2 linked regions of the Anolis sagrei genome follow. The protein of the gene in region 1 purifies or fractionates together with the protein of each later gene. This does not show direct contact. Links are inferred from orthologs where the notes say so. Each region holds a gene or a part of one and is shown in the gene's direction. Other genes may lie near its edges.

Region 1 (16,105 bases):
TTCTCCTTCCTTCCTCCCTCCCTCCTTCCCTTCTCTCTTTCCTCCTTCCTTCCTTCCTTCCCTCCATTCCCTTCCACCAATCCTTTCTTCCATCCTTCCCTTCATTCTTCCTTCCTTCCTTCTCTTTTTCCTTCTCCCTTTCCTCCTGGGGGATGTTTGGCTGGAAGAAGAGAAGGTGGAAAGGGAACATGAGAACCTTTTTTCAAGATTTCAAAAGGCGTCCCATTGAGGGGCGGGGGACTGACTTTCTGCTGCTCTAAAGACCAGGGCACAAGGAAGCAATGAGCTCAAATGGCAGGGAAAGACTCAACTGAAATGAACTTCCTGAGAGTAAGAGCTATTGGAAAGTGGCATAGGCTGCCTAGGAGTATGGTGCAATCTCCTTCTCTGGAGGCTTTTCTGCAGAGGCTCTCTATTGGGAATGCTTTGATTGTGCCTTCTTGAATGGTAGGGGGTTGGACTGGATGGCCCTTGGGGGGTCTCCTCCAGTTCTAGGATTCTTTATCAGGTGCAGGCAATACAGAGTCTCGTGGATACACTTTTTCTCTCCTGTCCACTATCTCATCCTGACAAAGGCCAACCCGTTTGGGATCCAAGCGTTTCCTGTCTTTCCTTCACTTTCTGCCTCCAAAAGAGAAGAGGAAGGGGAGAAAAGGGTCGAGGGGGGACTTGAGAAGAACCCCTCCCTCCGGCCCACCCACCCTTCTCCAGTCCGCAATTTGGCTCCCAAATTAAAAAGTTTGCTCGTGCCTGAAGTAAGTATTCACCATATCAGTTCGTTAGTTAAGCTCTTTTCCTCCAGGAATGTCCATGCAGGACTCTTCCAACATGGCTTATTTGTATCTTCAGTCTTTACTAGTACACAAAGAAAAGTGCGGAGAGGTATTTTTATGAGGGAAATCCTTGGTGACTAATCAGATCCAGGCTGTCCTAATCATTAAGATAATCTTTCAAGTGTTTTCTCCACATACCACATTGACGTAAAGGTCTCTTGGTGTGTTCTTTATTTAGATCAGTGGTTCCCAACCTTTTTTTTTTTTAACCAGGGACCACTTTGACTAGGTACTGCTCTCCAACGTAAGTACCAAAAGGGTTACGAATCAGTTTTTGGTCAACTTTAGATTCAATTTTGTTATTTGGGGTGCTGATTCAGAAAATTGCATTGGATAGACCACATCAGCTCTAGTTTCTGATATAGAACATATGCCATCCGGTAGTCACTATCTGCTCGCCCACAAAAAACAATATTTAATAATATAGAGCTGATGTGTCCATAGTAATCTTTTGTGGGTAGTCAGCCTCTCCCCTCCCAACAACCCCATTGCCTCGGCACTATAAGAGCGTTTCGCAAGCCCAGTCACTCTCGTTACCGCGTGGTTTCAAAGCAATGGTGTAGTAATGGGGAGGCTGCGAACCATATTTTTGTTATTGTGGACCACTGGTGGTCCACGGACCGCAGGTTGGGAACCACTGATTTAGACACATTGCAGTGAGGAGTAAGTGCAAGTTAGATTGCACAGATTGTCAAGCTCAAGCTTTTGTGGAGGTGTGTTAACTAGCTATTAGGAGTTGTGGGAACTGAACTCCAAAACACCCGGAGGGCTGAAGTTTGCCCATATCTGTGCTAGTGAATGTTTGCTGTAACAGTCTAAATGACTATGCTTATAACGGGGATTTTTATTGGAAATAATGGATTCAAATTGTACCAATGGCTTATGACAGCAGACTCACTAATGTACAGACCTTTCATGCCATTGATGCAACTGCCAAAAAGGAAAGTCGCAGATTTATATTTTTTTGGTATGGAAAGTAGGCTGACACTCTACACTAGACTGCCCGCCTAATGTCATTCTATTAAGAAGGCCTTGTGCACTTTTGTTCCCTGAACATTGTAAGAGAATTAAAAGAGAAGTAGCTCTGATTGTCACTGGCATGTTGATTCTCATTAGCCTGCAAAAGAACTGGAAGCTGTCCAGGAAATAATCCTCAACACAGAGGGCAGGCTTATCAAATTTGTAGATGTCACCAAATTAGGAGGGATAGCTAACACAACAGAAGGCAGGATAAGAATCCAAAAGGACCTTATCAGATTAAAGAGCTAGGTAAAACAAAACGAATTTCAACAAGAAGAAATGTAAGGCTCTAAATTTAAACAGAAAAAAATGCACAGACATAGGATGGGTGATACCTGGCTTCACAATAGTACAAGCGAAAGAAGCCTTAGTAGACCACAAGCGGAACATGAGTCAACTGTGTTGCAAAAGCTAAAAAATCATAGAATCATAGAGTTGGAAGAGACCTTGTGGGCCATCCAGTCCAACCCCCTGCCAAGAAGCAGGAAAATTGCATTCAAAGCACCCCCAACAGATGGCCATCCAGCAGATTGAACGCAAGGAAAGCGAGTTGAGCTCCCTCTGTCAGCTCCAGCTCCCCATGCGGGGACATAAGAGAAGCTTCCCATAGGATGGTAAAACATCATACATCCAGGCATCCCCTGGGCAACATCCTTGCAGACGGCCAATACTCTCACACCAGAAGTGACTTGCAGTTTCTCAAGTCGCTCCTGACACGAAAAAAGAACTAAAAATATTTCAGCCTTTCCTATTCACCCCATATATAATTCTTGCCCTATCAGTCAACTATTTAACTGTGATGTCTCATCTTGCAATGGACGCTCCTATAGCTTTTCTTAATGTTGCCTGCAGTTCAATTATATGGGTGCTTTTTCTCGGTGATCCATTCTGGCCCTGCCTCTTGGCTGCATATTTCCATGCTCCTGAAGTATAATTTCCAAGGAAACTGTCCTATTGTTTATTCTTGTTCTGTTAATCGCCGTGTGTCTACTGGGTAATGATCAATGAGCTGCTAATTGAAAGCAAGAGGGAATAAAGAGAGATTAGTTTGTTGCTGATCTTAATTAAAGAGATATATATTGCTATGGGGAAAACTTTAATAAATAGCAAGAGAGGTTTTTATCATTAAGAGAGAGTTAATTGGAAGCTACGTGTAAATTAATGTACAGGCATTGTGTTCACCAGTCCTTTGTTTGGTTCTCAACAGGATATAACAAAGCCTTGGGTATAACACCCTAAAAATATGAATATTTGACGGTTCTAGAAACTCATACAGTTCTAAGGGAGAGGGGCTGTAATTTCTTCATTAGTAGAAGTGACATTATATTATGAGGAGGAGCAAACTATAATAAAATCTCATGTAGTAGAAAATATTTTAGATCTCTCATATATCTCTTGTTAGTCTACCATCCAGATCTTTAAAGTATTTACTTGGGCATTAGAGACTTGCTGTAATTAATGGACGTTATTTCCAAATGCATTGCTTCAGATTTATTAGCATCTCTCGCCTGATTCAGATGCAACACCAAGCTCCAGGTTAGTTCATGCAAATGAATCATTGTGACGTTCAAGACTCATGAGCTCCCTTTTCTTCCCTTCTTCATACACAAAAAAATTCAAATCAAAATCTTCTGATCATGGCTTCAAAGAAACCATATTTCATCAAAGTACTGGAATGGGTGGTTTGAAAAATAATATACTTTGCCCTTTTCTTTCTCCATGCTGACAACCATCTCTTTCTGCTTTACCCTCTCTTTACTCCAAATGTGGGCCACCCAAGAGCCAGTTTTCTATCCCATTTGCAATTCACCACAGACTGCACCTCCACAAAAAACGTACAGAAGGGAAGGCATAAAAATTGCAGTTTCCAGAAGTCCATTTCCACTTTTCTTTTGTAGTTCCTATACATTTTGTGGGCAAACCAAGATGAAGGATGTCCAGTGCCCTGCTTAATGCAAACTCTCAATCCTGGCAAGCTTCCCGGAGTAAAAAATACTGACATTTTTCCAACAGACCTCACAACCTCTGAGGATGCCTACCACAGATGCAGGTGAAACATCAGGAGAGAATGCTTCTGGAACATGGCCATACAGCCAGAAAACTCACAACAACCCAGTGATTTTGGCCATGAAAGCCTTCGACAATATATTATCTGACAGTGGGGGCACCGAGGCATTGGTGTTCTATTCTGCTTTGATACCCTTATCTTAAATTTCAGTCACTTAATACTTTGTTTTTAGTTTTCCTTGTACACGTTTTATATTCCATTTGGGATCTAGAGGGTAAGACTTGTGCAAAAGAAGAAAGATCTTGCTCTGAAGCTCTGCAGTTTGTGAAAATCCAGACGGTTCATTGTACCACTGGGATTTTAAATCAGAGCATGCTGTCAGACTTGGCTACACTGGAGCACGTTTTCTACTACATTCATCACTGTCAGGGTCTTATGAACAAGGATATGCCACCGATGCAGAGCCCTACAGTCAAGGAACAGAGGTGGAAGATCCTTCTTTGGAGGCTTTTAAACAGAGGCTGGATGGCCATCTGTTGGGAATACTTTGATTGTGCTTTTCCTGCATGGCAGGGGGTTGGACTAGAGAACTAATGTGGTCTCTTCCAACTCTATGGTTCTATCATTCTAACAGGACACTTCTCTTGCTGGGGTTAACAGCCACGATAAATAACCAGGTAGTTATTTATTTTAGAAATAACCATCTAGTTATTTTTAAAATAAAGCCAGCTAAGGGACTAGATTACTGCTCATGCTTTCCCCAGCAAGGTTCCCGGGATCCTAATGACTGTGCTGTCGCACGCTGGGCCTGTGCATTAGACTGTACACAGGACATAAATTCTCTGTGCCCAACGGGACGCCGGGGCTGCCTCAGAATAAAGGCCCTTAGATTCCCCCAAACAGAGTCCTTAGAATGCTTAAAGTAAGTCCAACAAAGTTCTTTTATTAAGGAACAAACAGGTATTGTAGAGCTTTAAAGTATCAGTTCTCTCAAACTTGTCCGCAGGGAACAGGCACTATCTTCTTAACTATAATTAACTAAAGGGGAAATCCTAGCTTCTAATCTGGGCAGTCTGTACTTGCCTCTGTTGACGTGGAGCCCCTGCACCCGGTACCAACTGCATCTGGCTTCCGTGAGTGACCCTTGCCTCAACAGAGCTTTGTAGACCTCCAGGGAAAAAGAAGGAGTTCAGGTTGCTGTGATGGCCGGCTGGAGTCCCTCAGCCAAGCTGTGGCTGTATGTCTCCTGGCCAAGCCGTAGGGCTGTATAACCCCGGCCAAGCTGTAAAAGACGAAGCTTTTCTACAGGAGCCACTTCGTTCTGTGTCCTGTGCGAAAGGCTTCTCTGTGAGAACTAACTCAAAATGGCTACCAGTATTAAAAAAACTCAAAAATTACAACAGCAAAACAACAGAGGGGAAACAATCAGGCACATCTAATCACCTCTCAACAAAAGATTGCCCCAGGCACTGCTAGGCCATCAAATGCTAATCAAGGTGGTCAGTTGACACATTCACACCTAGCTCCAGCAGACAAGAGTTCTTTGTCCCACCCTGGTCTTTCCACAGATATATAAACCCACTTTCCTAGTTCCAATAGATCTCACTACCTCTGAGAATGCTTGCCATAGATGCAGGCGAAACGTCAGGAAAAAATGCCTCTAGAACATGGCCGTATAGCCCAAAAAAACCTACAACAACCCAGTGATTCCGGCCATGAAAGTCTTTGACAATACATCAAATTAATGTAGTTTGGCACCACTTGTAGGTTTACACAGTCTTTAGCATTTCTTTCTTTCTTTCTTTCTTTCTTGCCAGAGTGCTGGCGCCCCACCTAACTACAACTCCTGACAGCAGCATGGGGGGGGGGGGGGATCGCCGGGGTTATGTCAGAGAGGTTGTCAAAGACCATCAGAAAAATAAGTATTTTCTGTTGGTCATGGGGGTTCTGTGTGGGAAGTCTGGCCCAATTCTATTGTTGGTGGGGTTCAGAAAGCTCTTTGATTGTAAGTGACCTATAAATCCCAGCAACTACAACTCCAAAATGACAAAATCAATACCCCCCCCCCAACCCCACCAGAATTCAAATTTGGGCGTATCAGGTATTTGTGCCAAATTTGGTCCAGTGAATGAAAATACATCCTGCAGATCTGATATTTACATGACGATTCATAACAGTAGCAAAATTACAGTTGTAAAGTAACAACAAAAATAATTTAATCCAGCTTTAATCCAGTTTAAAGCAGAAAACCTGGGATCAGATCCTGGGATATAGGGCCTGTCTGGAAGAACCCAAAGTCATCCATGAGTTTCAAATTCATCAACCCTACAAGGGGAGAATTGCTATTAATGATCAGAACACCATTGATTCACACACACCTTATTTCTGCAATGCAATCTTGTAAATACAAATGAAAAAAACCCAAGGCAAATGAAATAACACTGCTTCCAAAGTGGGTAGCACTTTAGTTAAGGACTGTGGTGAGTAGGGATAAACTTAAGCCTTTACTTTCATTACAGCACCATACTCTCGCTTTGTGGTTTATAGTTTGCGGAGTTGTTACTTCTGGGATTTGTAGTTCGGGGAAGTGGTGGTAAATGCTTGTTCTTCTACAAATTACTATTTCAGTGGGAGAGGCAGTCAGGGGTACTGTGTCTCTTATCTTACAAAATAAGTTGGATTTCAGAGCTATGCATGCTTTCCTCTCTTTTTTTGGAAACCTGGCACCTTTTTCTCTGGCACTTTCTCTAACAGCCAAAGTGAATATTACACCAGGCAAAGGTCTCCAAGTGAGCTGACAGCTGTCTGCTTGGTTCCCTGATCGCTCCCAGACGTTTTCCAGATCATGTTTCTAGGAATTTGGCAGCCGACAGAAGAAAACCATTTCCAGTTGTTGGCCTTGTTTTTCTTTCATGAATCCTTGGACTTGTTAATGGAGGCCCCTATGGACTGGCAGAACAGAAGGTATGCATCCTGTCCTTGTAGAACTCAGAACTCAGCTTGAAGAGCTAATCTTTTGTATTTTTTTGCAGGGAGTTCAATATTTCTAAACCCACTGAACCCAAACCCCAACTCTGCCTCTTAGGAAGGGATATAGTTAAAATAGTGGCAGTACCCAAGTTACAAACAAGACAGGTTCTGTAGGTTTGTTCTTAAGTTGAATTTGTATATAAGTTGGAACAGGTACCACAGTACTTAACAAGGGGTTTTCTCTGCTTGCCTTGAAGTCACATTCCCTGTTTTCTCTCACAGGAGGGCCTCCTGCTATTTTATCATATAATCATGGAGTTGGGCTATCCAGTCCAACCCTCTGTCAAGAAGCAAGAAAATTGCATTCAAAGCACCCCTGACAGATGGCCACTCAGCCTCTGCTTAAAAGCCTCCAAAGAAGGAGCCTCCACCACATTCTGGGGCAGAGAGTTCCACTGCTGAACGGCTCTCATAGTCAGGAAGTTCTTCCTAATGTTCAGATGGAATCCCCTTTCTTGTAGTTTGAAACCATTGTTTGGTGTCCTAGTCTCCAGGGCAGCAGAAAACAAGCTTGCTCCATCCTCCCTATGACTTCTCCTCACATATTTATACATAACCATCATGTCTCTTCTCAGCCTTCTCTTCTGAATGTTAAAAATGCCTAGTTCTTTAAGCTGCTCCACATAGGGCTTGTTCTCAAGACCTTTGTTCGTTTTAGTTGTCCTCCTCTGAACACATTCCAGCTTGTCAATATCTCTCTTCAATTGTGGTGCCCAGAATTGGACACAGTATTCCAGGTGTGGTCTGACCAAGGCAGAATAGCCTTCTTCACTTGACTCAACTCGTCTGTCCGTGTGTCCATCCCTGTGCCACCCCCTTGAGCGCAGAAGTGAAGGGAACCTCTGAGAGAATGCATAGTTCCCCCTTCAACAGTAACACTTTAAAGGGCTTTAACAACAGGTAAAGGTAAAGGTTTTCTCCTGACATTAAGTCTAGTCATGTCTGACTCTGGGAGTTGGTGTTCATCTCCATTTCTAAGCCAAAGAGCTGGCGTTGTCTATAAACACCTCCAAGGTCATATAGCAGGCATGACTGCATGGAGCGCCGTTACCTTCCCGCCAAAGTGGTACCTATAGATTTACTCACATTTACATGCTTTCGAACTGTTAGATTGGCAGAAGCTGGGGCTAGCAGCAGGAACTCATCCCACTCCCCAGATTCGAACCGCCAACCTTTCAGTCAGCAAGTTCAGCAGCTCAGCAGTTTAACCTGCTGCGCCACCAGCGGGCCCTTGAACTGCCTGTAGTTTCCTTTATTCAATGGAAAAGTTGTTATTATTATTATTATTATTATTATTATTACATAACAACACTCTTTGCTCTTTATTTCATGAGAAATAGGCCTCAGGTTTCTGACAGTTAAGCTTCCTACTTCTGTAAAAGTTGAGAATAGCATGTCAGTGATGTCAGTTAAGAATAATGTCTTCATAAATACGAACGTACATATTGTGCGTTTATATAAGGGAAGGATTCCAATCTTCAATCACTGTATTCAACTACTTACCAATATATGTATATGTAGCCTTTGGTGGACTGAGCAGGAGAGAGGAGGCACTCAGGTTCATTTATCGTGTCAGAAGTGAACCGAGGGTACAGTTGCAATGTATTTAAGAAGCACAAAGTTTAAAAACTTGGCATTATATTAAATGTCCTTTGACCAGTAGCTGGTCACTTGGAGTGTCTCTGGTGTTGCTATAAGAAGGCCCTCCATTGTGCATGTGGTAGGGCATTAACTGCATTGTAGTTGGTGGTCTGTGGTTTGCGCTTCTCCACACTTACATGTCGTGGACTCCACTTTGTGGCCCCATTTCTTAAGGTTGGCTCTGCATCTCATGATGCCAGAGCACAGTCTGTTCCAAGTTGCCCAGTCTTCGGTGTGCCCAGGAGGGAATCTCTCATTTGGTATCAGCCATGGGTTGAGGTTCCAGATTTTTGCACTGCCAATTTTGGACTCTTGCTTGCTTCCTGCAGGTATCTCTGTAGATCATAGAAAACTATTTCTTGATTTAAGGCGTTGGCGTGCTGGCTGATATCCGAACAGGGGATGGGCTGGAGATGTCACTGCCATGGTCCTTTCATTATGGGCTGCCCCTTCCCGGAGGATGTCAGGTGGTGCAGAAGCAACCAGAGGCACTCAGGTAAAAGCTGCCTTGAAGGTGAAGAGAGGTTAGGGTGCGTCTTTACTGTAGAATTAATCCAGTCTGAGACATCTTTAACTATGCTATAGTGAGGAATATAGTTAGGCTGTTAGGAATGATGGGAGTTGCAGTCCAAAACTGCTGGAGGAGGGCCGAAGTTTGCCCAGGCGCGGCCTAGGCCTTCCTTCCTTCCTGCCCCGCCGCCTGAGATTTGCATAGACGAAGCGGGCGACTTCCTGGAACGAGAGGCGCTGCCTCGGCCTCTTACCTGGCTGGAGGAGGAGGAGGAAAGAAAGAAAGGCCGGAAGTAGGCCGGGTGGCAGCCCCGCAAGGAGAGGCTGCTGTTGCCCCTTCTCCTCCTCCTTGGAGGCCCTCTTCTTCCTACCTTCCTTCCTTCCCGAGGGGTGAGTGTGTCCCAGGCCTTCCCCCCTCTGCCCCACTTCCTTCCCCTCGCCTTCCTTCTCACAGTCGTTTCTCCCCTCAGCATGGCCCTTCCCCTCTTCTCTCCCACAACACAAAACGGGCGTTGAGTGTATCTGTGGGATTCACAGAGGGTGTTTCACCACTTTCCCTGACTCAGCTCAGTGCTATGGGATCAGGGGAACTATAGTTTTTGCAGGCCCTCACTGCCCCCCAGGATCTGGGAGGCAGTGAGACATGGAGGTTCAATGGGGTGTCCCAAATGCATTCATTCTCTCTAGGCATGGCCAAACCTGGGCCTTCCAGGTGTTTTGGACTTCAACTCCCACCATTCCTAACAGCCTTAGGCCCCTTCCTTTTACCCCTCAGCAAAGCTGGGCCTTCCAGATGTTTTGGACTTCAGCTCCCACCATTCCTAACAGCTTCAGGACCCTTCCTTTTCCTCCTCAGCCATAGCAAGCCTAGGGTTTCCAGGTGTTTTAAACTTCAACTCCCACCATTCCTAATCAGGCCCCTTCTTTTCTCCCTCAGCTGCAGCAAACATGGCCTTCCTCCAGATATCTTGGACTTCAACTCCCACCATTCCTAAAAGCCTCAGGCCCCTTCCTTTCCCCCCTCAGCCGCGGCAAACCTGGGCCAGGTGTTTTGGACTTAAGCGGCTGAGGGGGAAAAGGAAAGGGCCTGAGGTAGTTAGAAACGGTGGAAGTTGAAGTCCAAATCACCTGGAAGGTTCAGGTTTGCCAGTGCCTGTTGTAGAATGATGCACCCCAGTTAGCATAGTCAGGAATTGAAGTTGCAGCCTCTGGAGTACCAAAGTTTGCAGATTGTTGTTTTTGATTTACCTTGACTAGAATTCCTGGGCTGCTTCTTATAACCCGATGTTAGGAATTGTGGGAGTTGAAGTCCAAAACACCTGGAAGGCCAAGGTTTGCCCATGCGTGAGGTAGGGCATGCATCTGCACTGAAGAATTATTGCAGTTTGTCAACATCTTAACTGCCATGGCTCAATGCTATGGAATCCTGGGAGTTGTAGCACTACAGTGTCCACTGTCCACCAAAGGGCGATGGTGCCCAAACTACCACTCCCATGATTCCATAGCCACGGCAGCTAAAGTGGTGCCAAACTGCATTCATTCTACATTGTGGAACAAGCATGAGAAAACTTTGGCCCTCCAGGTGTTTGGGACTTCAACTCTCACTGGGCTGGAGTTTGCCCATGTTTGGTGTAGAATGATGTAGCCCAGTTAGCATAGTCAGGAATTGAAGTTGCAACCTCTGGAGTACAAAAGTTTGCACATGGTTGTTTTGGATTGCTAAAGGGCCTTGTCTAGGATTCCAGGGCTGCTTCTTATAACCCTTGTGCTTGTTTTGGTGTCATAAACCCTCCATAACCAATGCTGAGGCTGCAATTCTCTGCACACTTATTAGAGGCATGCAGCAGGGCTTATTTCAGGGTAATTGCAGATAGGATGCCCTGCAGATGGGTTTAGTGAAATAAATTTTAATAAAAAATGCATATACATATATTTAGGCATTATCAGAGTGTGGACACAGATAACCCAGTTCAAAGCAGATATTACGGAATTTTCTGCCTTATATTCTGGGATATAGGGCTGTGTGGAAGGGCCCCTAGTCTCTGGCTGTTTACAGTGGATGTTTAATTTCTTGGGGTCAATGATAGGGGCAATCACAATTGTTGTTATAGATATCTCTGCATGTTACAGAGTCAATGATAGGGGGCCATCTCTGTGGAGTAGCTCATCATGGGCTTTCTTTTCATCCTTCCTTTCCCAATATTCCTGAAGACTTTTTTAATTCCGCTGGGATTTTGTTGCTTTCTGCTGCTTCAAGAAAAGTGATGTTATGTTGATTTTATTGTGGCTATGCATTCTTACTTTTATTATGATTTTACTGTTTTGTTTTTAAATTCTCAGCCACTTCCATTTTTCTCCATAAGGAATGTTTTTAATCTTACTTCTTCACTATTGCTGTTAAATTTGGGCTCTTAATTCTGACACAGGAAGACCCAAAATATGAAATGCTGTGTTCACTGGCTTTTAATTTGCAATGAGTTCACAAGTCAGAATAGTGTTTTTAGGCAGCACAAACATGTACCCTGAGCACATTTGATATGTACCATGATATCTTGCTGCTGGATGAATGGTTAAATAATCAGTAATGCCAAAAGCGATCAGCAGGTAGATTTTAAGCATTATTCTATTCTCCTTTTCAGGGAGAAACCTGAGGTTGAAGATGAAACTAGCTGTCATTGGTTGGAACACTAGCTATTAGTGCTTTGTGCTGTCATATCTATCTGTCAGATAATCCAGAATGGAATGCAGCTAAAACCAGAATAGTTGGCTGGTTAAAATATTGTTTTGCTCTGTGAGACCTCTCTTGTGCTCTGTTTAATTTAAGAAAAATATATCTGAGGAAAATATATAAAGACAACTGAAATTTATTCTCTCAAACATATGTTCACGTCACAGAATGCTGTCTTTTTTGTTTCTCCTCCCCTGCCAGTATCTTAGCAATGGACCTGTCTCATAGCAATATTAAATGGCATGAAATTGAAGGCCTTTGAAGTGGGAATTTACCTAGCGAGCCATTCTTCGCTGCATATTCTTTCTCGCTGCTGTCAGAAGAAGGTGTAATCAAAATCAAGCTGGTTATACAGGCTCCTTTGGAGATCTCATCTGCTGACACAAGCCTTTAGAAAGGGAAACTGCACAGATTTCAAACAGGCCATGAAGAATTATATTAAGAAATGTAAAGAATGGGCTTGAGCACACAGCTATAAGCTTGCTTTAACACTGAAGCTCCTGGTGTTAGGAATCCGAACTCTCTGTCAGGACAGACTTATCCAAGATAAACTGGAACATCTGCTTCTTTTTTCTATTCCCTCCTATTTCCTTGAAAGCTTGAATGAATGTCGTTATCCATTGCCACAATCCTTTATCTGTGAACATTACTGTGCTTCACTGTTTTAGCTGAGGGAGAACATTTCCCACACCACTTCCATGCTTCCTCTTCCTTCAGCCAAACTGACAAGTTAAACAGAAGACTCTTAGTCCTGCCTCAAGATTTAGAACTTTAAAAAGTAAACATTTGGAAGTGCCAGGTCACAAGGGTATTCTACTGTGCAAGTTACTGAAGGCTTCAGAGATTATTTACCCAAGCAATATCTGTGTTATTGTTTTCTATTAAAATACAAAGTGAAGGAAAAGAAATTACAAGGATTCAAGAGTTTAAATAATATGACAGTGTTTTGTTGTCTTAGGATGCATCTACATTGAATATTTAATGCAATTTGACACCACTTTAACTGCCATGGCTCAATGCTATGGGACCATTGGAGTTGCAGCTTTATAAGGTTATAGGCCTTCTCGGCCAAAGAGTGCTTGTGCTTCACCAACACCCAGGATTCCGTAATATTGGTCCATGGCAGTTAAAGCAGTGTCAGACTGTATTAAATATTCAATGTAGATGCACCCCAACTCAGACTTCATAGTTTTAACATTTGAAGTTTCTTGTAGGTCTGGTAATTGCAAAGAATATGTAAAACAATGGCGACTGTTGTGTATTATATTGCTCTTATTTAATTCAGCAAACGTTGAAGAATTCCAAGCTGCTCCAGGAAAAAGACTGAGTAGATAAATAAGATATTATTAATGTTATAATTGTATTGAGCAGTTTACTAAGCAAGTCATATTGAAAACCCTGTCTACAAGTAATATTGCTTGCACCAAACATCAGAGCATGGCATACAGAGAGAGGACATCCCTCCTGTTGTGTCAGCTCCACTGGCTACCGTTCTGCTACCGAGCCCAATTCAAGGTGCTGGTTTTTGCCTATAAATCCCTAAACAATTCTGGTCCAACTTACCTGTTCGAAGGCATCTCCTCTTATGAGTCAACAAGAGCTTTAAGATCAGCTGGGGAGGCCCTGCTCTCAGTCCCACCCCTCTTGCAAGTGCAATTGGTGGGGACGAGAGACAGGGCCTTCTCAGTGGTGGCCCCTCAGTTGTAGAATCCCTCCCCAGTGACATCAGGCAGGCCCCATCTCTTCTGGTTTTCAGGGCAGGGGGAAAGCTAAAGATCTGACTCTGTACTACACAAGCATTTGAAGAATAAGTTATACAGGTTCTGATACAGTCTGAATAAGAATGGTGGATAAATGGAATTATGCACTTTATATGTTTTAATCTGCTTATTTTTCTATGTGTTTTATCTGCTTAATTGTTTTAGTTAATGGGATATATTTTATTGTTAGAGTTTTAAGCTGCATTGCATTTTGCCGGAGTTGTAAGCTGCGGGGTGAAAAAGGTGTGGTATAAATGAAGCAAATCAATGATAATAAATAAATAAGAATGGGCCAAAATACCCACAAAGCTCTTCTAACAGCCCACCTTCAACCAAAAAACTTTCTTTTTGATCTGACCTTCCATTCTTTCACTGCAACTTCTGTGGAGTTCAAGTTCCTGAGCTTCTGTCATTCATCTTGCTGTTTCATGGATCTGGTATGTAAGCCTCAAGGGGACCACTACTAAACAAATAACTATGTTGAACACTGGCTCAATGTGGTAAAGTGGAACCCAGTCCTCCTTATTCGTTGTTTAAATAAAAACATTCAGGCAGAGTTGTGGAAAATAAAATGTGCAAAGATTTATCATGTAACTAGTAAGTTAAACATGAAGTCCCTGTAGTCTAGCGGTTCTCAACCTGGGGGTCGCGACCCCCCGGGGGGTCGTTTGGCCATTTTCTGGGGGTCGCCATGCCGCATTGGCTAGCCACGCCCCCTCCAAAATGGCGGTCGACCCACATGCCAATGGCACTCCTGATAGGGATAGTGGCAGCCCTTTCCCAGCCCAGCAATAATCGCATGCCTTCCTGGAGCGGCGGAGGCAGCGGCGTCCTACCTCTGAACACCTCCACCGTCGAGCTGCTGCTGCAGGCCTAGAGGAGCAGCTGCAACCCAGCAGCAGCAGCTCGACGGAGGCTGATGGAAGTCCTTCCCTGCCTGCCAATGGCTCCTGGAAAAGTGGGAGAGGAGGCCTTTCCTCCGCTCTCTCTCTCTCTCGGCAGAGCAACCCAGCTAGGGAGAGAGGAAGATAAAGGGTATGCAGGGAAAGGGAGAAGGAAAGAAAGGTGCCCACGGAGTGAGGGAGAAAAAAGGAAAAGCACGCACAAGATGAGAGAGAAGGAGAGAAAGGCACGCTGAGGGTAAGGGAGAAGGAAAAAAGGCAGGCGGGGGGGCAAGGGGGGTGGAAAGGCAGACATGGGGCGAGGGAGAAGGGAAAAAGGGTCCACGCAGGGTGAGGGAGAAGAAAGGTGAACGAGGGTCGAGGGAGGAGAAAAGGGCACGCACATGGCAAGGGAGAGGGAGAAAAAAGTGCACACAGGGCGAGGAAGAAGAAAATAAACGTGTCTGGGGCAAGGGAGAAGGAGGGAAAGGTGTGCAGGGAGAAAGAGCAGAGAAAGAAAGGGGCAAGGAAAGAGGAGGAAAAGACAGCTGGGTTGCTATGCAGAGAGTGGATGCCCTTCTTTCAGCCGCACACCTTCTTGGCATCATCCTCCGTGGAGCAGGTGCTGGGCTGCAGCCGCTCCTGTAGGACGGCCCAGGAGCGGAGGAGAGCCATCCCCAGGCCAACGGAGAAGCTGCAAACGGAGAAGCTCCGTGCTGCAAACGGCCCCTGAGTTCTTGCAGCAGCGTTTGCAGGCGCCTCCCAGGGGATAGCTGTGGCAGGAAGGAAAACACAGGCTCCCAGTCTCCAAGATCTGTTTTCCCCAGAGCCCCCAGTATTCTCTTTGTGTTCATGGGTGTTCTCTGTGCCAAGTTTAGTCCAATTCCATGGCTGTTGGGGTTTCAGAATGCCCTTTGATTGAAGAGTTCCCTTCCACACAGCTGAATGAAATCCCACATTATCTGCTTTGAACTGGATTATCTGAGTCCACACAGCCAGATAATCCACTTCAGTGTGTATTTTATGCAGCTGTATGGAAGGGGCCTCAGACAACCCAGTCCCTTTCCACACAGCTGAATGAAATCCCACATTGTCTGCTTTGAACTGGATTATCTGAGTCCACACAGCCAGATAATCCACTTCAGTGTGTATTTTATGCAGCTGTATGGAAGGGGCCTCAGATAACCCAGTCCCTTTCCACACAGCTGAATGAAATCCCACATTATATGCTTTGAACTGGATTATCCGAGTCCACACAGCCAGATAATCCACTTCAGTGTGTATTTTATGCAGCTGTATGGAAGGGGCCTCAGACAACCCAGTCCCTTTCCACACAGCTGAATGAAATCCCACATTATATGCTTTGAACTGGATTATCTGAGTCCACACAGCCAGATAATCCACTTCAGTGTGTATTTTATGCAGCTGTATGGAAGGGGCCTCAGACAACCCAGTCCCTTTCCACACAGCTGAATGAAATCCCACATTGTCTGCTTTGAACTGGATTATCTGAGTCCACACAGCCAGATAATCCACTTCAGTGTGTATTTTATGCAGCTGTATGGAAGGGGCCTCAGACAACCCAGTCCCTTTCCACACAGCTGAATGAAATCCCACATTATCTGCTTTGAACTGGATTATCTGAGTCCACACAGCCAGATAATCCACTTCAGTGTGTATTTTATGCAGCTGTA
Region 2 (15,801 bases), on another chromosome or scaffold:
GCAATATTCCTGCTTCTTGGCAGAATGGGGTTGGACTGGATGATGGCCCAGGAGGTCTCTTCCAACTCTAGGATTCTATCATTCTATGACTCTGAGAGCCGTTCAGCAGTGGAACTCTCTGCCCCGGAGGGAGTGTGGTGGAGGCTCCTTCTTTGGAAGCTTTGAAACAGAGGCTGGGTGGCCATCTGTCAGGGGTGATTTGAATGCAATATTCCTGCTTCTTGGCAGAATGGGGTTGGACTGGATGATGGCCCAGGAGGTCTCTTCCAACTCTAGGATTCTATCATTCTATGACTGTGAGAGCCGTTCAGCAGTGGAACTCTCTGCCCCGGAGGGAGTGTGGTGGAGGCTCCTTCTTTGGAAGCTTTGAAACAGAGGCTGGGTGGCCATCTGTCAGGGGTGATTTGAATGCAATATTCCTGCTTCTTGGCAGAATGGGGTTGGACTGGAGGATGGCCCAGGAGGTCTCTTCCAACTCTAGGATTCTATCATTCTATGACTCTGAGAGCCGTTCAGCAGTGGAACTCTCTGCCCTGGAGGGAGTGTGGTGGAGGCTCCTTCTTTGGAAGCTTTGAAACAGAGGCTGGATGGCCATCTGTCAGGGGTGCTTTGAATGCAACATTCCTGCTTCTTAGCAGAATGGGGTTGGACTGGATGATGGCCCAGGAGGTCTCCTCCAACTCTTGGATTCTATGATTCTATGACAGTGTGTTGTTGTTGTTGTTGTTGTTGTTATTGTCTCTTGATCAAGTCACAAAGAAAGTCTCAGTGCAAGAATTCTTGTGCTTAAGGTTGGGAACAACTTGGTGCCAGTTCACAACAACAACAACAACAAGAAATATAATCTGTGGTCCTTATTTGGCTTTTCTTAATGTTTGGCTGCTGTTGCATCAAAAGCCCAATATTGCATAAACTTGTTCGCGCGCTCTCTCTCTCTCTCTCTCTACACACACACACACACATGCACACATTCATAGCCTACAGAGACATCATGATGTGTCAGGAATTTCCCACCAAACCTCTTGCTTTCTTTGGTAAACTGGGTACTTTCTGTGGCACAAAAGCCCCAGAGAAAACACAGCCCCTGAGTCCCGTTCCCCACTTTAGTCTTTCTGCTCCAAAATAAGGAAATGTACCCTTGAACACACACGCACACGCACACAGCCAACAGGACTGAAGACTGATAGGTAGAGGTTGGAATCCGGGGAGAGCAAGGATGAGCTCCCTTTGTCAGTTCCAGCTTCCCATGCAGGGACATGAGAGAAGCCTCCCACAAGGATGGTAAAACATCAAAACATCCAGGCAACATCCCCTGGGCAACGTCTTTGCAGATGGCCAATTCTCTCGCACCAGAAGCAACTTGGAGTTTCTCAAGTTGCTCCTGATGCCAATATGTATATGTATATATATATTATTATTGTATTGTCGAAGGCTTACATGGCTGGAATCACTGGGTTGTTGTAGGTTTTTCCGGGCTATATGGCCATGTTCTAGAGGCATTTTCTCCTGACGTTTCGCCTGTATCTATGGTAAGCATCCTCAGAGGTTGTGAGGTCTGTTGGAACTAGGAAAAAGGGTTTATGTATCTCTGGAATGACGAGGGTGGGACAAAGGACTTTTGGCTGCTGGAGCTAGGTGTGAATGTTTCAACTGAGCACCTTGATTAGCATTTGATGGCCTGGCAGTGTCTGGAGAAATCTTTTGTTGAGAGGTGATTACCTCTCAACAAAAGATTAATTACCTCTCAACAAAAGATTGCTCCAGGCACTGCCAGGCCATCAAATGCTAATCAAGGTGCTCAGTTGAAACATTCACACTTAGCTCCAACAGAGAAGAGTCCTTTGTCCCACCCTGGTAATTCCACAGATATATAAATCCTTTTTCCTAGTCCCAACAGACCTCACTACCTCTGAGTATGCTTGCCATAGATGCAGGCAAAACGTCAGGAGAGAATGCCTCTAGAACATGGCCATATAGCCCGAAAAAACCTATATTATTATTATTATTATTATTATTATTATTATTATTATTAATTGAACAGATAAAGTTTAGACAATGTCAAGCAGCAATCAGACTGTACAGCAGGCATGGGCCAACTTGAGCCCTTCCTCCAGGTGTTTTGGACTCAAAATCCCACAATTCCTCACAGCCTGGGGCCCCTTCCTTCCCCCCTCAGCTGCTTAAGCAGAAAAGGAATCATAAAAGGGAAAGGAAAGGGCCTGAGGCTGTGAGGAATGGTGGGAGTTGGAGTCCAAAATACCTGGAGAGAAGGCCGAAGTTTGCCCGTGCCTGAACTAGAGTAGAATCACACAACCCCAAGGTGGCAACCGAGCCTTTGGTATGAGTCGCCCATAAACTGAGAAAGGTGGTATACAAATGTAGTAAATAAATAGATAAATAAATAAATATTTTCCTAGCAGAATTCAACTGGGAGATATTGACAAGCTGGAATGTGTCCAGAGGAGGGCGACTAAAATGATCAAGGGTCTGGAGAACAAGCCCTATGAGGAGCGGCTTAAGGAGCTGGGCATGTTTAGACTGAAGAAGAGAAGGCTGAGAGGAGATATGATAGCCATGGATCAATATGTGAGAAGAAGCCACAGGGAGGAGGGAGCAGATCAAGGGTCTGGAGAACAAGCCCTATGAGGAGCGGCTTAAGGAGCTGGGCATGTTTAACCTGAAGAAGAGAAGGCTGAGAGGAGATATGATTAGAGCCATGTATAAATATGTGAGAGGAAGCCACAGGGAGAAGAAGGGAGCAGGCTTGTTTTCTGCTTCCTAGGAGACTAGGACGCGGAACAATGGCTTCAAACTACAAGAGAGGAGATTCCATCTGAACATTAGGAAGAACTTCCTGACTGTGAGAGCCGTTCAGCAGTGGAACTCTCTGCCCCAGAGGGAGTGTGGTGGAGGCTCCTTTTTTGAAAGCTTTTAAGCAGAGGCTGGATGGCCATCTATCAGGAGTGATTTGAATGCAATATTCCTGCTTCTTGGCAGAATGGGGTTGGACTGGATGGCCCATGAGGTCTCTTCCAACTCTTTGATTCTAGGATTCTATGATTCTATGGGGAGCGGAAGCCAATGATGGGGCAGGGGATAGAATCCTAGAATCCTAGAATCAAAGAGTTGGAAGAGACCTCCTGGGCCATCCAGTCCAACCCCATTCTGCCAAGGAGTAGGAACATTGCATTCAGAACACCCCCAACAGATGGCCATCCAGCCTCTGCTTCAAAGCTTCCAAAGAAGGAGCCTCCACCCACTCCGGGGAAGGCAGAGAGTTCCACTGCTGAACGGCTCTCACAGTCTGGAAGCTCTTCCTCATGTTCAGATGGAATCTCCTCTGTTGGAGTTTGAAGCCATTGCTCCAATGCGTCCTAGTCTCCAAGGAAGCAGAAAACAAGCTTGCTCCCTCATACCATGGGGTTGGTGCAGCCAGATCTTTGGGGGGTTGGAGTTGCTTGTCCTTTCTACGCCATTCATTCCCACCCCCTCCTCGGCAGGTCTTGAGAAGCGGTTTCTACGAAACTGCAAGTGACTGCAGGGTCAGTTCCTCTTTCTTATCTAAAAATGAGTTCAAACACATTTTGGGGGGGGGGGGGGGGAGTGAGGATGACATTATATGAACGTTGCGACTGGGCTGTGTGTGTGATTTCCAACATCGGGATAATATGAAGAGGAGAGGGTCAGGATACTAGAGTGACCCTCTGGGGTCTGACCCTTGAAGACTGGATGGCTCTCTATTGCAGCGTTTCTCAACCTGGGGGTCGAGACCCCTGGCGGGGTCGCGAGGGGTTGTCAGAGGGGTCGCCAAAGACCATCAGGAAACACAGTATTTTCTGTTGGTCATGGGAGCTCTGTGTGGAAATATTGGCCCAATTCTATCGCTGGTGGGTCTCAGAATGCTCTGATTTTAGGTGAACTCAAAAATCCCAGCAACTACAACTCCCAAATGTCAAGGTCTATTTCCCCCAAAATCCACCAGTGTTCACATTTGGGCATATTGAGTATTTGTGCCAAGTTTGGTCCAGATTGATCATTGTTTGAGTCCACAGTGCTCTCTGGATGTAGGTGAACTACAACTCCCAAACTCAAGGTCAATGCCCACCAAACCCTTCCAGTATTTTTTGTTGGCCATGAGAGTTCTGTGTGCCAAGTTTGGTTCAATTTCACTGTTGGTGGAGTTCGGAATGCTCTTTGATTGTAGGTGAACTATAAATCCCAGCAACTACGACTCCCAAATGACAAAATCAATCCGCCTGCCCAATCCCACCAGTATTCAAATTTGGACATATTGGGTTTTTGTGCAAAATTTGGGTCCAATGAATGAAAGTACATCATGCATATGAGATATTTATGTGATGATTCATAACAGTAGCAAAATTCCAGTTATGAAGTAGCAACAAAAATAATGTTATGGTTGTGGGTCACCACAACATGAGGAACTGTATTAAGGGGTCGCGGCATTAAGAAGGTTGAGGACCACTGCTCTATTGGGAGGGCTTGGATGGTGCTTTTCCTGGCAGGTTGGGGCTGGGCTGGATGGCCTTTGGGGTTTTTTCCTCCAAGTCTAGGGTGCTAGGACCATGGACAGGGATTGACCCAGAAGAGGCAGGGAAGGAGCGTCTCTCTCTACTTTCTGCGGAAGGGAAACTGGACGGGAAGGCAAGAAAAGTCAGCAGGAAACCCCAGGGAGACAAGGCTGCATAAGCAAGGAAGGAAGCAAGGAAGGAAGACCCCTCCTTGGGTTTTCCGGAGGACTTTTCCTGCCGTGGAGTTCCCTGTGGGTCTTTACAAAACATTGCAACAGACATGCATGAGCCATGAGCCAACAATGTGATGTGGCGGCAAAAAAAGCCAATGGGATTTGGGCCTGCATCAATTGGAGCATAGAGTCTAGATCTAAGGAAGTCATGCTGCCCATGCTCTATTCCGCCTTGGTTAGACCACTTTACCTGGAATATTGTGTCCAATTCTGGGCACCACAATTCAAGAGAGAGATTGACAAGCTGGAATGTGTCCAGAGGAAGAGGGCGACTACCATGATCAAGAGTCTGGAGAACAAGCCCTATGAGGAGCGGCTTAGGGAACTGGGCATGTTTAGCCTGAAGAAGAGAAGGCTGAGAGGAGACATGATGAGGGCCATGGATCAAGATGTGAGAGTTGACAAGCTGGAATGTGTCCAGAGGAGGGTGATTAAAATGATCAAGGGTCTGTAGAACAAGCCCTATGAGGAGCGGCTTAAGGAGCTGGGCATGTTTAGCCTGAAGAAGAGAAGGCTGAGAGGAGATATGATAGCCATGTATAAATATGTGAGAGTTGACAATCTGGAATGAGTCCAGAGGAGGGTGATTAAAATGATCAAGGGTCTGTAGAACAAGCCCTATGAGGAGCGGCTTAAGGAGCTGGGCTTAAGGAGAAGAGAAGGCTGAGAGGAGATATGATAGCCATGTATAAATATGTGAGAGTTGACAAGCTGGAATGCGGAAGGGAAACTGAACTGAATGTTTCCACCTGAACATGAGGAAGAACTTCCTGACTGTGAGAGCCGTTCAGCAGTGGAACTCTCTGCCCCGGAGGGAGTGTGGTGGAGGCTCCTTCTTTGGAAGCTTTTAAGCAGAGGCTGGATGGCCATCTGTCAGGGGTGATTTGAATGCAATATTCCTGCTTCTTGGCAGAATGGGGTTGGACTGGATGGTGGCCCAGGAGGTCTCTTCCAACTCTTTGATTCTAGGATTCTATGCGCATAAGTATTTGTTGCAAACAGTGTGCTGTTTTCCAGCTATTTGTGTTCCATGATCATTTCTCCGATAATATCTTTTCTTTAAGGAGTCACAGTCTTCTATTTGAATCGTACATACTCATAAAGGCATCCTAGGCTCTAAAGCAGTGGCTCTCACCCTTCCTAATGCCGCGACCCCTTAATACAGTTCCTCATGTTGTGTTGACCCACAACCAGAAGATTGTTTTCGTTGCAACTTCATCACTGTCATTTTGCCACTCTTAAGAATCGTCATGTCAATATCTGACATGCAAGAGGTATTATCATGCACTGGACCAAATTTGGCACAAATATCTTATACGCCTACATTTGAATGCTGGTGGCGTTGGGGGATAGTTGATTTTGTCACTTGGGAGTTGTAGTTGCTGGGATTTATAGTTCACCTGTAAACAAAGAGCATTCTGAACTCCACCAACGATGGAATTGGACCAAACTTGGCACACAAAACTCCTGACACCAACAGAAAGTACTAGAAGGGTTTGGTGGGCATTGGCCTTGAGTTTGGGAGTTGTAGTTCACCTATATCCAGAGAGCACTGTGGACTCAAACAATGCTGGATCTGGACCAAACTTGGCACAGAGTTTGCTTGGAGTTGTAGTTCACCTACATCCAGAGAGCACTGACAGATCTGGACCAAATTTGGCATGGATAATCAATATGCCCAAATGTGAACACTGGTGGAGTTTGGGGGAAATAGACCTTGACATTTAGGAGTTGTAGTTGCTGGGATTTATAGTTCACCTGCAATCAAAGAGCATTCTGAATTCCACTAACAATGGAATTGGACCAAACTTGGCACACAAATCTCCTGAGACCAACAGAAAGTACTGGAAGAGTTTGGTGGGCATTGACCTTGAGTTTGGGAGTTGCAGTTCACCTACATCCAGAGAGCTCTGTGGACTCAAACAATGATAGATCTGGACCAAACTTGGCATGGATAATCAATATACCCTAATGTGAACACTGGTGGAGTTTGGTGAAAATAAACCTTGACATTTGGGAGTTGTCATTGCTGGGATGTATAGTTCACATACAATCAAAAAGCATTCTGAACTCTACTGTCAAAGGCTTTCATAGCCGGAATTATTGGGTTGTGGTAGGTTTTTTCGGGCTGTCTGGCCATGTTCTAGAAGCATTCTCTCCTGGTGTTTCGCCTGCATCTGTGGCAGGCATCCTAGGAGGTTTTGAGACCTCCCAACCTCTGAGGATGCTTGCCCTAGATGCAGGCGAAACGTCAGGAGAGAATGCTTCTAGAACATGGCCAGACAGCCCGTAAATTTCTACAAAAACCCAATTATGGGGATCTTCCTGGTCCTGTTTGGCCGGGAATGCTCTGGAAGGGAAACCCCGGAGGCGATGGGGAGGGCCAGTGGGGGGGGGGGCGCTCTGCCCATGCTCAGAGGCAGGGGGGGATTCCCCGGCGGGGCGGCATTGGGCGGAGGGGAGGGGGCGGGGCGGGGCAGGGGGCGTGGCGCCTCTTCTGTCTCCTCCTCCTCCTCCTCTTTCTTCTTCCCGGGGGGCTCTTAAGGGCAGCGCTCCGGCCCTCCTCTTGCAGAAGGAAGAGGGTGGGCATGGGGTCTGGCTGGAGGTCAGCGGGGCTCCGGCCAGGGCGCTTCTTCTCCTCGTGGGCGCTGACCTGGGCCCTCCTCGCCACCCACCTCGGACGCGCCGTGAGTTTCGCTTTCGCTTCGGACACCAAGAAAAGGGGGGGGGGGCACAGGTCGGGGCTTTCCTTTCTTTCTTTCTTTCTTTCTTTCTTTCTTTCTTTCTTTCTCGCTTTTATTTCCCTCCCTCCCTTCTTTCCCTTCTTTTCTCTACTCCTCCCTTTCTGAGTCCCGGGGAGGAGGAGAGGGTCCCTCTCTGCCCGAAATGGGGGCTTCTGGGGGGAAAGGGGGTGGAACTGCGCTTTCTTTCCTTCCCTTCCTTCTTAGAATCATAGAATCCTAGAATCAAAGAGTTGGGAGAGACCTCCTGGGCCATCCAGTCCAGCCCCATTCTGCCAAGAAGCAGGAATGTTGCATTCAAATCACCCCTGACAGATGGCCATCCAGCCTCTGCTTCAAAGCTTCCAAAGAAGGAGCCTCCACCACACTCCGGAGCAGAGAGTTCCACTGCTGAACGGCGCTCACAGTCAGGAAGTTCTTCCAAATGTTCAGGTGGAATCTCCTCTCTTGGAGTTTGAAGCCATTCTTCCATTGCGTCCTAGTCTCCAGGGAAGCAGGAAACAAGCCTGCTCCCTCCTCCTCCCTGTGGCTTCCTCTCACATATTTATACATGGCCCTCATCATATCCCCTCTCAGCCTTCTCTTCTTCAGGCTAAACATGCCCAGCTCCTTAAGCCGCTCCTCATAGGGCTTGTTCTCCAGACCCTTGATCATTTTAGCCGCCCTCCTCTGGACACATTCCAGCTTAGAGTCAATATCTCTCTTGAATTGTGGTGCCCAGAATTGGACACAATATTCCAGATGTGGTCTAACCAAAGCAGAATAGAGCATGGGGAGCATAGAATCATAGAATCATAGAATCAAAGAGTTGGAAGAGACCTCATGGGCCATCCAGTCCAACCCCATTCTGCCAAGAAGCAGGAATATTGCATTCAAATCACCCCTGACAAATGGCCATCCAGCCTCTGTTTAAAAGCTTCCAAAGAAGGAGCCTCCACCACATTCCGGGGCAGAGAGTTCCACTGCTGAACGGCTCTCACAGTCAGGAAGTTCTTCCCTGGATCTAGACACTAGGCTCCTCTTGATGCAGGCCAAAATCCCACTGGCTTTCTTTCTTCCTTTCCTTCCTTTCCTTGATCTTCTTTCTTTCTTTCTTTCCTTCCGTCCTTCCTTTCCTTTCCTTTCCATTCTTTCCTTTTTCCCCTTCTCTCATTCCTTCCTTTCTTTTTTCCTTTCTTTCCTCTCTCCTTCCTCCCTTCTTTTCTTTCCTTCCTTCCTTTCTTTTTCCTTTCTTCCCTCTCTCCTTCTTCCCTTCCTTTCCTCTCTCCTTCCTCCCTTCTTTTCTTTCCTTCCTCCCTCCCTTCCTTTCTTTTCTCCTTTCTTTCCTCTCTCCTTCCTTCCTTGCTTCTCTCCTTCCTTTCCTTCCTCTTCTTTCCTTCCTTCCTTCCTTCCTTCCTTTCCTTTCCTTTCCTTTCCTTTCCTTTCCTTTCCTTTCCTTTCCTTTCCATTCTTTCCTTTTCCCCCTTCTCTCATTCCTTCCTTCCTTTTTCCTTTTTTCCCTCTCTCCTTCCTCCCTTCTTTTCTTTCCTCCCTCCCTCCCTTCCTTTTTCCTTTCTTTCTTCTCTCCTTCTTCCCATCCGTTCTTCTCTCCTTCCTTCCTTCCCTTTCTCCTTCCTCCCTTTCCTTTCTTACTTCTCTCTGTCCTTCCTTTCTTTTTTCCTTTCTTTCCTCTCTCTTTCCTCCCTTCTTTTCTTTCCTTCCTTCCTTCCTTTCTTTTTCCTTTCTTCCCTCTCTCCTTCTTCCCTTCCTTTCCTCTCTCCTTCCTCCCTTCTTTTCTTTCCTTCCTCCCTTCCTTCCTTTCTTTTCTCCTTTCTTTCCTCTCTCCTTCCTTCCTTGCTTCCCTCCTTCCTTTCCTTCCTCTTCTTTCCTTCCTTCCTTTCCTTTCCTTTCCTTTCCATTCTTTCCTTTTCCCCCTTCTCTCATTCCTTCCTTCCTTTTTCCTTTCTCCCCTCTCTCCTTCCTCCCTTCTTTTCTTTCTTCCCTCCCTCCATTCCTTTTTCCTTTCTTTCTTCTCTCCTTCTTCCCATCCGTTCTTCTCTCCTCCCTTCCTTCCCTTTCTCCTTCCTCCCTTCCCTTTCTTACTTCTCTCCGTCCGTCCTTTCTTTTTTCCTTTCTTTCCTCTCTCCTTCCTTCCTTCCTCTACTCCCACCTGTCTTTTTTCCCATCCTCCCCTTCCATTCCTTTCTTCTTTCATTTCATCCCTTCCCTTTTCCTTTCCTCCTTTCCTTTCCAGGTCGTTTGGTGGGGGGGGGGGCTTCCTCGCGTCCCCACCCTCGGCCCCTCCCCCACCCAGGGACCCCTCCCTTGGGGATCCCCCACCCCCCATTGACTATGAACTAGTTCAGAAGTATGGTGTGTTCTCCAAGATCCTTTCACCACCGTCCCAAACATAGTTGGTGGGGAGGAGAGGGGGGTGGCTTCTCAGTGGTGGCCCCTGGGTTTGGAATGCCTTCCCCAGGGAGATTTATTCATTTTATGTACTGTATGTGTATACTGCCCTTCTCAGCCCTCAGGAGATGAGGCTGGCACCCACTCTGTCCGCCTTTCGCAGAGACCTCAAAACTCAAATGTTCCAGTGTTCCTTTGATCATGATTAGATTCCCAGGTGGCACAGCGAGTTAAACCGCTGAGCTGCTGAACTTGCTAATTGGAAGGTTGCCAGTTTGATTCCAGGGAGTGGGGTGAGCACCCACTATTAGCCCCAGCTTCTGTCAACTTAGCAGTTTGAAAACATGCAAATGTGAGTTGATCAATAGGGACCAGGAAATCAGAAGATGTTTCCTTCTTGGGAGGAGAGCGTTGGCCAACCTCAATGAAAGAGTGAAGAGTAGAGACATCACACTGGCAACGAAGGTCCATGGTATTCCCTGTAGTCACCTACGGAGGTGAGAGCTGGAACATAGGGAAGGCTGAGTGAAGGAAGAGAGATGCTTCTGAACTGTGGTGCTGGAGAAAAGTTCTGAGAGTGCCTTGGACCACCAGAAGATCCAACCAGTCCATCCTCCATTGGAGGGAAGGAGATGAGAGGCCAAGAGGAAGTCCTTTGCCCACATCATGAGAAGACAGGAAAGCTTAGAGAAGACAATGATGTTGGGGAGAATGGAAGGAAAAAGGAAGAGGGGCTGACCAAGGGCTAGGTGGATGGATGGCATCCTTAAAGGGACTGGCTTGACCTTGAAGGAGACCCTGGGGGTGGTGACGGTCAACAGGGAGCTCTGGCCTGGGATGGTCCAGGAGGTCACGAAGAATCATAGAATCAAAGAGTTGGAAGAGACCTCATGGGCCATCCAGTCCAACCCCTTTTTGCCAAGAAGCAGGAATATTGCATTCAAATCACCCCTGACAGATGGCCATCCAACCTCTATTTAAAAGCGTCCAAAGAAGGAGCCTCCACCACACACTCTGGGGCAGAGAGTTCCACTGCTGAACGGCTCTCAATGAAGAGTTCAACGCAACTGAACAAATAAACAACAATAGGTACTGCTTTGGTGGGAAGGTAATGGCACTCCTTGTAGTCATGCAGGCCACATGACCTTGGAGATGTCTATGGACAACGCTGGCTCTTTGGCTTAGAAATAGAGAAGGACACCAGAGTCGCAGAGTCAGACACGACTGGACTTAATCTCAAGGGGAAACCTTGACCTTGACCTTAGGCCCTGTCTATGAACACCCATTGGATGGTCCAGGAGGTCACAAAGAGTTCAACGCACCTGAACGAATAAACAACAGCAATAGGTACTGCTTTGGTGGGAAGGTAATGGCACTCCTTGTAGTCATGCAGGCCATATGACTTTGGAAGTGTCTATGGACAATGCCGGCTCTTTGGCTTAGAAATGGAGATGAGCACCACACCCCAGAGTCAGACATGACTGGACTTAATCTCAAGGGGAAACCTTGACCTTTGGCCCCGGCCGTGAACACCCATGGGATGGTCCAGGAGGTCACGAAGAGTTCAGCGCAAGTGAATAAACAACAACAATAGGTACTGCTTTGGTGGGAAGGTAATGGCACTCCTTATAGTCATGCAGGCCACATGACCTTGGAGGTGTCTGTGGACAACGCTGACTCTTTGGCTTAGAAATAGAGAAGGACAGCAGAGTCCCAGAGTTGGACATGACTGGACTTAGTCTCAAGGGGAAACCTTGACCTTAGGCCCCTGTCCATGAATGCCCAGCCCTAACTGACCGTTAGAGTGGACTCAGCATTTTCCTGCAGCCCTGGCCTTATCATGGGCTCTTTGCACAAGCTCCTGCCCACTCCTCTCTAATTTCTGACCTTGCCCATAGTTAGTGAGATTTGTTTTGATTCCTTTTGGGCTTGTTTTTAAATTGATTCATCAGATTGTCATGTGTTTGCTACGTTTTTAAATGTGTTATTAGCAATTAGCTCCCTTGGGTTGGGCATGTTCCTGCATGTAAGCCGGTCCAAGTCCCTTCGGGGAGAGAGATGGGGTGGGGCATAAAAACAATGTTATGATTATTGTTATTATTATCACATCCTGAGAGGGTTGGGGGGCTTTCCTATGCAAAGAAGAGGTGGGGAGTTTCCTGCAGGAAGGAAGGGAAGGAGGAAGACACCGCCCCCAGACCCACTTTTGGGTGAAAGAGGCTCCTCCCCCCCCCCCCCAAATTTGGTGAAAGGGAAACACAAAAAGGCAATACAGAGGAAACACAGGGAGATGGGGCAAGAAAGCCCTGCCTTGGAAAGAGGCCATTCAAAATGGGCCAAGGCCTCTTGGTGGGCCACAAGCTGGACATGAGCCAGGAGTGAGAGGCTGCAGCTCACAAGGCCAATGATATTCTCAGATGCATCCAGAGGAGGATTACGCCCAAGCAGAGCCAAATAGTAGTGCTGCTCTCTTCTTCTGCTGTGTCCACACCTTCCCTCCTGGAATAATCCTCAAATCCCTGTGTTCCGGTTCTGGGCAAAAGCCATTCAAGAAGGAGGTGGACGAGAAGGAATCATAGAAGAAAGGGCCACAAAAAGGGCCAAAGGTCTGGAAACCACAAGTCCCATCCATCCAGAGGAGGATTGCATCCGAATAGTAGTGCTACTCTCTTCTTCTGCTGTGTTCAGAGCTTCTCTCCTTGAAGAATCCCATCCCTCTGTCCAGTTCTGGGCAAAAGCCATCAAGAAGTTGGACAAGAGGAAAGGAAGGAAGGAAGGAAGGGGCCCAGAGAAGAGCCACAAAAAGGGCCAAGGTCTGGAAACCACAAATCCCACTAAGCTGTTTTGAGAATCTGGAGGAGAGAAGGGATCAAGGAGTTGGCCATCAATGTCCTGCCCTACATCCATCCATCCGACATCCGGGACATCCGTAGGGAGACCAAGGTGCTTAGAATCATAGAATCGAAGAGTTGGAAGAGACCTCCTGGGCCCTCATCCAGTCCAACCCCCTGCCAAGAAGCAGGAATATTGCATTCAAATCACCCCTGACAGATGGCCATCCAGCCTCTGTTCAAAAGCCTCCAAAGAAAGAGCCTCCCCCACACTCCCTCCGGGGCAGAGAGTTCCACTGCTGAACGGCTCTCACAGTCAGGAAGTTCTTCCTCATGTTCAGATGGAATCTCCTCTCTTGTAGTTTGAAGACATTGTTCCCTTGCATCCTAGTCTCCAAGGAAGCAGAAAACAAGCTTGCTCCCTCCTCCTCCCTGTGGCTTCCTCCCACATATTTATACATGGCTATCATATCCCCTCTCAGCCTTCTCTTCTTCAGGCTAAACATGCCCAGCTCCTTAAGCCGCTCCTCATAGGGCTTGTTCTTCAGACCCTTGATCTGCTCCCTCCTCCCTGTGGCTTCCTCTCACATATTTATACATGGCTATCATATCTCCTCTCAGCCTTCTCTTCTTCAGGCTAAACATGCCCAGTTCCCTAAGCCGCTCCTCATAGGGCTTGTTCTCCAGACCCTTGATCATTTTAGTCGCCCTCCTCTGGACACATTCCAGCTTGTCAATATCTCTCTTGAATTGTGGCGCCCAGAATTGGACACAATATTCCAGATGTGGTCTCACCAAAGCAGAATAGAGGGGTAGCATGACTTCCCTAGATCTAGACACTATGCTCCTCTTGATGCAGGCCAAAATCCCATTGGCTTTTTTTGCCGCCACATCACATTCCTGGCTCATGTTCCCCTTCCTCCCCACGAAGACTCCAAGATCTTTTTCACACGTACTGCTCTCGAGCCAGGCCTCATCGTCCCCCATTCTGTCTCTTTGCATTTCGTTTTTCTGCCAAAGTGGAGTATCTTGCATTTGTCCCCGTTCAACTTCATTTTGTTAGTTTTGGCCATTCATCTCTCTGGAATAATCATCATATCCCTGTGTTCCAGTTGTGGGCAAAAGCCATTCAAGAAGGAGGTGGACAAGAGGGAATCATAGAAGGAAGGGAGAGGTCCAGAGAAGGGCCACAAAAAGAGCCAAAGGTCTGCAAACCACAAATCCCACTAAAGAGATGTTTTAAGAATGTGGAGAAGAGAAGGGATCAAGGTGTTGGCCATCAGTGTCCTGCCCTACATCCATCCATCTGACGTTTGGGACATCCATAGGGAGACTAAGGGGCTTGTTTATAAAGCTATTGTCCTCCCAACCCTGCTATACACCTGCGAGACGTGGACTGTCTACAGATGTCAACATTGAGACTGAAATACAACACCGCCTGAACTCTGCAAGTGCAGCATTCTTCTGAATGAAGCAGAGAGTGTTTGAGGACATCCGTAGGGATACCAAGGTGCTTGTTTATAAAGCAATTGACCTCCCAACCCTGCTGTATGCCTGCGAGATGTGGACTGTCTACAGATGTCACATGCAACTCCTGGAACGATCCATCAGTGCTGCCTCCGGAAAATCCTGCAGATCTCTTGGGAAGACAGGCGGGGAAATGTCAGCGTGGGGAAGAAGCAAAGACCACCAACATTGAAGTGATGTTCCTACGCCATTAACTCCGCTGGACTGGCCACGTTATCTGGATGCCTGACCACCGTCTCCCAAAACTGGTTCTCTATTCTGAACTCAAGAATGGAAAACAGAATGTTGGAGGACAGGAAAAGAGATTGAACGATGGGCTTAAAAACTCTGGCATAGACACTGAGAACTGGGAAGCCCTGGCCCTTGAGCGCTCCAGCTGGAGGTCAGCTGTGACCAGCAGTGCTGTAGAATGTGAAGAGGCCCGAATGGAGGGTGAAAGTGAGAAACGTGCCAAGAAGAAGGTAAATCAAGCAAACCCCAACTGGGACCGCCTTCCACCTGGAAACCGATGCCCTCACTGTGGGAGAACATGTGGGTCAGCAGTCACCAAAGTACCCACTGCCAGTTCACCGACCTAGGGGGACAATCTTACTTGGACAACGAGGGATTGCCTAAGTAAGCCCTACATTTCTCCCTGTGGTGGTGTAAAGACGTATCAATGCCACCAATAAAAAGTAAAGTCGTGCGTTAATCCCACCAAATGGGACCACCAAAAATGTAAGAAAGTTCCTAGACTGCTATTAAATTAAACTGCCACCAATATGTTTAGAGACGCTGGTCTTAAAGTCTCTGTTTATCCCTATTTGCGTTGTGAGGTAACTTTGGTAGAGTGGAATGCACCGAACGTAAAATCAATGGAGATGAGGCAGGTTTTAAAATACAAAGAGAACAAGTTTATTGCTAAACAAAGCGTAATTGTTGCAATATTGAGATGATGAGCTTGGCATATGCTTGTTGGTTACAATATGGCTTGGTTGAGATACATTCAGGCTTCTGATGTTACAATCTTATAAACTCCTTCTTCAGTGAAGTGCTTTATTATTTCAGTGTTCCCTGTTGTGAATATTCACCCTGTTTGTCCTATACCGGATCAAACCACTGATCTCCAGTCTTCCACTACTGGCGATCCTAAAACCCCCTCTGTTAGATTCTTTTTAACTCAAGCAATCTAACGAGGTTTCACCTTCAGCTCCCTTGCTGAAGAAATATTCACAAATACTAAGAACTAACTGAATTTACACTGCTTCACACCACAGAGCCCTAACTGACTCTGCCCTCTTCTCAGGGTCTCATCCTCCTGACTAAACTACTTTTCCAGAGTCCTATCTGACTCTGCTCCTCCTCTCAGGGTCTCATCCTCCTGACTGAAAATTAACTGTCACTTTCAAACCTTTTTCTCTTTAAGCTCCGCCCACCTCCTCTTCTGCCTTGTCACCATGGCAACCTATCTCTCACAGCTAGGACATGGCAACCAATGTAAAACATAAATACAGTTTAAACACAGTATAATAAACACTTTATAATAAACATATCTCTACACCTTCCCCCCCAG

Evidence for each region.
Region 2: the proteins of TRAF3IP2 (region 1) and CD40 purify together in Homo sapiens (affinity purification with western blotting, with the first as the bait; 3 studies listed by BioGRID). This does not show direct contact. The link is inferred for Anolis sagrei from reciprocal best matches to the Homo sapiens genes TRAF3IP2 and CD40.

The regions. Positions count from the first base shown.
Region 1 is NC_090021.1:92,793,106-92,809,210, forward strand, and holds the start of TRAF3IP2 (E3 ubiquitin ligase TRAF3IP2), read left to right. Parts: upstream 1-9,037; 5' UTR 9,038-9,062; intron 9,063-9,138; exon of another isoform or gene 9,139-9,432; intron 9,433-16,105. UniProt on the Homo sapiens protein: E3 ubiquitin ligase that catalyzes 'Lys-63'-linked polyubiquitination of target protein, enhancing protein-protein interaction and cell signaling. Transfers ubiquitin from E2 ubiquitin-conjugating enzyme UBE2V1-UBE2N to substrate protein.
Region 2 is NC_090024.1:248,014,549-248,030,349, reverse strand, and holds the start of CD40 (tumor necrosis factor receptor superfamily member 5), read left to right. Parts: upstream 1-7,290; 5' UTR 7,291-7,350; coding exon 7,351-7,449; intron 7,450-15,801.